2 linked regions of the Drosophila melanogaster genome follow. The protein of the gene in region 1 purifies or fractionates together with the protein of each later gene. This does not show direct contact. Each region holds a gene or a part of one and is shown on either strand. Other genes may lie near its edges.

Evidence for each region. Proteins that work in one complex are often made in the same cells at the same time.
Region 2: the proteins of Gprk2 (region 1) and Gbeta76C purify together in Drosophila melanogaster (affinity purification with western blotting, with the first as the bait; one study listed by BioGRID). This does not show direct contact.

What each region holds. Positions count from the first base shown.
Region 1 is NT_033777.3:31,403,210-31,406,960, reverse strand, and holds the start of Gprk2 (G protein-coupled receptor kinase 2), read right to left. Parts: upstream 1,717-3,751; 5' UTR 1,005-1,716; intron 1-1,004. Other genes in the region: PNPase (polynucleotide phosphorylase), read left to right, coding at 2,404-2,549, 2,606-3,025, 3,086-3,751. UniProt on the Drosophila melanogaster protein: Specifically phosphorylates the activated forms of G protein-coupled receptors. Required during oogenesis and embryogenesis; component of a signaling pathway that functions during egg chamber maturation.
Region 2 is NT_037436.4:19,685,755-19,689,505, forward strand, and holds the start of Gbeta76C (G protein beta subunit 76C), read left to right. Parts: upstream 1-1,882; 5' UTR 1,883-1,973; coding exon 1,974-2,042; intron 2,043-2,463; coding exon 2,464-2,909; intron 2,910-2,963; coding exon 2,964-3,165; intron 3,166-3,304; coding exon 3,305-3,434; intron 3,435-3,517; coding exon 3,518-3,604; intron 3,605-3,751. Other genes in the region: CG8765 (uncharacterized protein), read right to left, coding at 1-137, 204-892, 1,041-1,182, 1,241-1,481. UniProt on the Drosophila melanogaster protein: Guanine nucleotide-binding proteins (G proteins) are involved as a modulator or transducer in various transmembrane signaling systems.

The DNA of each region.
Region 1 (3,751 bases):
ACTATTTTTAACGACTCGCATTTGTCAGCTGCAAATGGAAACGGGAATTTATTGCCAGGCAATCACGCTGATTTATGGTGATTTCAAAATGGTTTCACTAATTGGTTTGCGTTCTTTTCCAATGTTCGTGCTATAAAAATACAGATTTTGAGTTCGAGTACCGCAAATAGTTTTCTGTTAATTTTGGAAATAGGTTTCATGAATTATGGGGAATTTTCCTGTGCATCACATCTCTGATGTTATTCCGACATTTTGCATAAAACGTACAGTATTTTGGAAGTAGTGTGCAAGTGATTAATAAATAAATATCTTGAATTAATGTTTATATCAGCTCTGAAAACTTTACGTAAATATAAAATGTATGATTTTAGAAGTCAAAATAATCAGTGAACACGCATGGCAGTGAGTCATCACTATTGTGAATGCCCAATATATTTTTGTGTGAGCAATAGATGTTACTTCCGGATATCTTGGTAAATGCAAAAATAACAAGCTGACTTATGTCTACTAAGTCATTGATAAATTGTCAGAGGTTAACTAAAAAATAAACAAATTATTAATGATCCAACAATTCCACCGATTATCTCGATAACTTTTCATTTATTTACCAACCTGCCCTCTTTAGCGGGTCAAATGATGGACGGGAACAGCGAGACAATAAATAATGAGCTATAAATATTCATATAGTGCATTGTTGGGCTGATTGCTTGCATGTGTGCATCTGTGCATGGGTATTTATGCATTTAAAAAGCAAAGAAGGAGGACCTACTGATAAGCATTTCCCGATTGCTTTCACTTTTTAATCGATTGGCGTGGGGTGACAGGGATGGCGCGAGTCCTGCGGCATTAATGCAATTAATCGCCAGGAGAGACAAGGCCAACGTGTGTGTAATTTACAGTTACCGTTAAGTGCTTAAGTGCAAAGGAGGGGAACAGCCAGTGAGTTGTGACCACCGAGGAGCAGTAGAAAATAAGGTGATTTCAAGCTGATTAATGAGACTTACCTGTTTGTTTGATGTGCTATTTAAAGCTTCACTGTGAGTTTCGGCTGGTTGGAATTTTCGCAACAAATGTGTGGGTTCTGATAAGAAAGCGGGCGTTGATAAGACGCTTTTCCTTCTCTCTCTCTCTACCACTCCTTTCGCACACCACTGCAATTGCAGCATAAACAATTTGAAAGAACAAGAAGAAGCAGCGACACGCCTAGTGGGCAATTTTCCGGCCTTTTCGTTGGGAAATCTGCGTTTTTTTGGCTTTGCGCTCTTTTTTGACTTTGCCTTTTGGCTTTGCGCAAGAATACTCTTTGATTTTTTGTTTTTCTTTTCAATTTGACCGCATTTGTCGATTTTGGTTTTCTTTTCGGTTGTTGTTGCGGCTCTCACCAAAATTCACACACACAGGCGCGCTCTCACACATGCACAGATGGGCGGGCACACAGAACACACACACGCACACTACGACACACGCGGCGTTTCGTTGACGGAAAAGATACGAAAAATACGGCGTGAAATTCCCAGCTTTTTTCGAAAAGGCTCGCAAAACAAGGGCTCGACGCTCTTGCGGTTTTCCGGTTGGAGGAGTGGCTTTTCTAAGACGACACACGACGACGTTCGCAACTGGGCTTTCTGCAAGTGCCCAAAATTAACGATGGATCCGCGAATTGCCTGCTCGAAAAATATTGGAGTCTTCTGTAAGACCGTCGTTGAGTTAGTGAAAGACGTCTTCGACTCGCGGTAAAAAACTCTAAACGCGTAAAAAGACGGACTAATTTTGGCGGACTGTGTAGTGCTGATGCCTCAGCTATTTTCTAGCTAGCTTGAATTACTTAGATCTGGCGATTTGGACATCGTCGCGTCATTCTGTTGGTCGTTTTAGGACCTTTCAGAACATACCGTCTTAATTCTTCGTTTCTGAAAAGGAATTTAAATGCTGTTTCTTGCATGCTGTAACTAACATTGCTAAGAGTTGGCAGCACTGCAAATTTGACATTATCGGGGACACAAGCTAATAGTTCATTTTCTGGGAACCCTTCTAAATATCTTATTGGAAACGAAATTAATTTTTTTAAAATACGCTGTATTAATATTTACTACATTATTCCTAAGACATAATCCGTGTAATAGTTTGTCTATATAATTCATTTGTTGTTACCCTTGCCAGGTGGCAACGCCGAACGCACACATGTTGCACACTCTACTTTGTTTTAAATGGGCATTCTAGTTTTGAGATAACTGAATTAAACAATACAAATAGTTGAGGCGCTCTAAGTCTAACTTCCAAGTCTCAAGAAACGTACAGGGCTTTTATTGTAAGATTTTGACCACTAATTATTTCTTAAATAACCATGAAAATACAGCGTACAGAACTGTCGCCTCAGCCGGAATCACCCGGCACTTTTAGGTAATGGCCATGATTTTCACACGGAAATCGCTGAAGCTGCTCAACTATCGCCTCAAATGCCTAAGTTTGTCCTGCCCAGGAGGAAGGAGAGGAATCCAAAGCAGTTCCAACGGAGAAGCGCCCTCCGTGGAAGTCAACTTCAGCAATGGGTGAGTTCGTGGCCTCCACTCCGAGTTCCAATAGCAAAGTCTTGAATCCTCCGCAGACGTAACATGACCTTCAGTTCCGGCCGCCTGGCGAGATTTGCGAATGGAACAGCTGTGTGCCAAATGGGCGATACCGCCGTCATGGTCACCGCGGTGGCCAAGGCGAAGCCAAATCCCGGCCAGGGATTCATGCCTCTGGTGGTTGACTACCGACTGAAAAACGCCGCCTCTGGCAGAATACCCATGAACTTTATGCGCCGCGAACTGGGCCCCTCGGAAAAAGAGATCCTGTCCGCCCGCCTTATCGACCGTTCGCTACGCCCGCTCTTCCACAAAGATTATCGCACGGAGACACAGCTGGTGTGCAACATGTTGGCTATGGACGCGGTGCACAGTCCGGATGTGCTTGCAATCAATGCCGCTTCCATGGCGCTATCTCTAAGTGACATTCCCTGGAATGGACCCATTGGAGCTGTGCGGTGAGTACTCACGAACGAATCTAACTGGTAACCGCTTATAACTCTTTTAATCCTACAAAGCGTTGGCCTCTGCGACGGCGAGGTGCTGATCAACCCCACGCGCCGGGAGCTGCAGACTTCGCAACTGGATTTGGTAGTCTCCGCCACCAAACAAAACCTCGTCGTTATGTTGGAGGGCAAGGGGAATGTGGTTCTTCAGCAGGACCTTCTAAAGGCTATCAAACAAGGGACTCGTGAGGCCCAATTCATTATCCACGAGATCGAGCGACTGCAGAAGGCCTATGGTCGACAGAAGCGCGAAGTGGAAGTGGCTGCCGAAGTAGATCCCGAACTGGGGAAAGCCGTTCGTAGCATGTGCGAAATGCGGCTGAGAGAGATCTTCCAGGATTCGACGCACGACAAGATGTCTCGTGACAATGCGGTTAACGAGGTGCGCTCCAACGTTATTGACAAGGTGTGGAGTTCGTTTCCGGATACCGAACCGTCGCTTATTACCGAGCAGTTCAACCAGACCAGTAGAACCATTTTTCGCGAACTGATCTTTGAGCGGGGTCTGCGTTGCGATGGACGAGATTACGACCAGCTGAGGAACATCTCCTGCCAGGTGGACATGTACAAGCCTCTCCACGGATCCGCCCTATTCCAGCGCGGTCAGACGCAGGTCTTCTGCACGGTTAGCTTGGACTCGCAGGAAAGCGCAATGAAACTTGACTCGTTGGCTGCTTT
Region 2 (3,751 bases), on another chromosome or scaffold:
GTACTTCTGAAGGAAACTGAGCGAATTATAGTGCTTCCAACGCGATGTGGCATCTATGTGCATCAGTGTCCTCAATCGCTTGTGTTCGCGTGCGTATTGGTCCCTTAAAGCCTTCCACTTCAGTCGACACTGTTTCACTAAAATAGTTAATGCTTGAAAAATCATCTTCATCCTTCGGCTGTTTAAGTTTATCAACCACATACCCGACTTCTTTAGTTTTCTGGCGATTTCCTCCCACACCTCCATCTTGAGCTTGGCATTGCGATAGTTCTCGTTGCCGTAGTTGTAGATCATGTCTTCCTGCTGGATCAGCGTGATCAGTTCCTTTTCGAAGTAGCTCTCCATGTTGAGAAATGTGTGTATGGGATCGTCGTCCTCCTCCTCGGCGTTCGTCGATTGATTGTGCGCTGCTGAAGTGGTGGATACATTAGACGTGATTGTTGCTGCCGAGCTCGACTGATTGGCGGCATTGACGCAGTCCACTATTTCGTTGTAGAGAGTGTCTACCACCGTGGTTGTGTTGGCGGTTCCACACTGCACTATGATTGATGGAGTAGCACCGCCTCCCGCATCCGTCAGATAGTTCCAGTTCGCTTCCGGCTGCGAGTGCATTTGTTGCTGATGCTGCTGTTGCTGCTGCTGCTGCTGCAGCACGGCTCCAATATGGCTTGCCAAGAAAGTGGCTGCCGGCTTCTTATCAGTTGAACTAGGCGAACTGAAGCTGCAGCTGTCGAGCAGCGTGGATGCACTGGCATCCTCAATTTTAATGCTGCCGGAAAGGTTTAGATTCTGGCTACTGCTGTTGCTGCTGAAGGAAGTAGTCATGGGCAGCGATAAGGGGGTCACCGTACCCACGGCGCCATTGGAAGTCTGACCAGATCTCCCTCTGTAACTAAAGAATTGTGGGTTTAATTAAATACGGACATATCATTTGGAAGCCTGAAGAACAGAACTAGTGATAGATAGCTCCATATGCTGTATAGTCTGCATTGGCAGTCAGCATGGCGGTGCCAACTTGAATTGCTCCACGTGCTACTTACTTTCTTGCCAGCGCATATGGACGCAGGAAATCCAGCTCTTTGAAATACTTCCACTTCACTGCTTTTGAGCAGGCCTTGGCGCGCTTCAGCTCCCGGCAGTACTGATCCCTCATGGCCTTCCACTTGGACTTGCACTGGACGTCTGTGGAAATGGGATTAAGTGCCAACTTTTTGGTGGGGAAACTTAAACGTTCACTTACCGGACCAACCCACATTGCTGCCAATCTCCAGCCATTTCTCGTCCTTGATCTTGGTGCTGCGGTAGTGGGGATGCTTGGGATTGTATAGCGACTGCTCCTGGGAGACCAGCGAAATGAGGATCAGCTCCTTGGGAATGCTGACCACATTCTCACCCAGACTAGGATCTATGCTGAGATTCACGTGCTGCTGCTGCGGCTGCTGGTGCTCCTGCAGCTGGTTGGCACATGGCAGCGTCTCCATGGCGCTCCCTACTTGGTGTCCATGCTGGCGGTGTGTTAATATGGGCAATTGTTATAAATAAAAACAGGGAAAACAAAAATGAGGTGACCGAACAGCTGATCCTGGAGAGTTGTGTAATTAGAGGGACCAGTTTCGCCTTGGCTATACAAGCATCTTTTTTACATTGAGTGGAACATCTGGTGGCCACCGACCTGGTCACCCTGAACAGTCCAGTGCTGCAAGAGGCGCACACCATTTCGATAAGTTGGCAGCCCGCTCATATGTTCGATTTTAAAATTTTGGCGCCAAAAAATCGTCTTTCTATACATTTGTATTTAACGGCTAATCCAATTAGCTAATTGCATTACCGCTAAGGAAAAAAGAAAACATCATAACATTCAGGCAAAACAAATTGTTTAACTCTCAGTTTATTGTGCGACGCAGTGCGGTTCAAAACTAGAAACTTTCTTCTGGCAAATATTGCAGCCGTCCTTATATAATTAATGCTCCATAATGCCGAAAATTGACCCAGAAACACAAAAACTCTACGACGAAATCAATGGCATGATACAGAAGTTTAAGGTGAATTAAATAAACTCAACGTACAGCGAAGTAAATTAAAAATATCAGATAATAAATATAGCAACAACAAAAGTAACATAAAAAAGTTTTCCCCATATAAAATAACAATACTCTAAAAATACCGATAGCCAGCTTAAAAAGAAATTCGTTGTCCTTAATTTAATTTTAACAAAAAAATATTAATATAACTTTTTGGAATATGTATGATAATATGATTGGGTTTTAAATATCTTGCCAGATTTCATACTTCAGTGCTAACTACTCCCATAATATTTCATCTCGATAATAGTCGAACACATTATTTCCAATTTTGAAAAAATTAAGTGACTTAACTTAATCGAAAACTGTATGCGTCTCTAACATTTATTCTGGAAATTCTTGTAATAAAAATTGTCATTCATTACTATGATTTTGCTTTCAGGATGACCAAAAAAGCAAGGCTGATTGCACGTTGGCCGATAAATGCGGCGACATGGGGGATGTGCCCAAGATTCGATTCTCATCCAAGAAGATTCTCAAGGGCCACATCAACAAGGTGAATTCGGTGCATTTTGCCGGGGACTCGCGGCACTGCGTCACTGGATCGCTGGACGGCAAGCTGATCATCTGGGACACCTGGACCGCCAACAAGGTGCAGATCATCCCCTTGAGATCCGCCTGGGTAATGACGGTGGCCTTTTCGCCGTCGGGTAACTTTGTGGCCTGCGGAGGAATGGACAACCAGTGCACCGTCTACGATGTGAACAATCGCGATGCCTCCGGAGTGGCCAAGATGGTCAAAGAGCTGATGGGCTACGAGGGATTCCTCAGCTCCTGTCGCTTCCTCGACGATGGCCATCTGATCACCGGCTCGGGAGATATGAAAATGTAGGGCTTTGCTTAACTTTTTGGAGTAAAATCTAAGTTTCCTATGACCAACAGATGCCATTGGGATCTGGAGAAGGGTGTCAAGACAATGGATTTCAATGGACACGCTGGTGATATCGCTGGCTTATCGCTTTCGCCAGATATGAAGACCTATATCACTGGCTCTGTGGACAAAACTGCCAAGTTGTGGGATGTGCGAGAGGAGGGCCACAAGCAGATGTTCTTCGGTCACGACATGGACGTGTCATCCGTCTGCGTGAGTACACATATATGTTTTAATAATAATAGCTTATATTAATTACCAAGAACAACTATAAGCAGCTAATCTATTTAGTACTTGTAATTTAATACAAATGTATTCATTACACCCACCCAATTATCATTATCGGTTGCAGTACCATCCCAGTGGCTTCGGGTTCGCCTCCTGCTCGGAGGACCAAACGGCGCGCATGTACGACCTGCGGGCGGACCAGCAAATCGCCCAGTATGAACCGCCCCAGAAGAACACTGGCTTCACGTCGTGCGGTGGGTTCTCGTTCTCCGTCTTGGTGGAACACGGTCGCCTTGACTTTTGACGGGTTTTTAATCTGATTTTGTGTCCCCACCAGCTCTATCGACCAGCGGGCGCTACCTCATGTGCGGCGGCATTGAGGGCAACGTGCACTCGTGGGACACGATGAAGCAGCGGCACACGGGTGGGTATTGGGAATTGGGTAGTTCGTATTGGGTATTGGATATCCATTGCACTTGGGGGATTCGGTGATAAAGAACGGGGAAATGGAGGCGAAGCTAATGCTCAGGCTGGCACTTGACTTACATCGATTTGCTGACCTTCTTCTCCA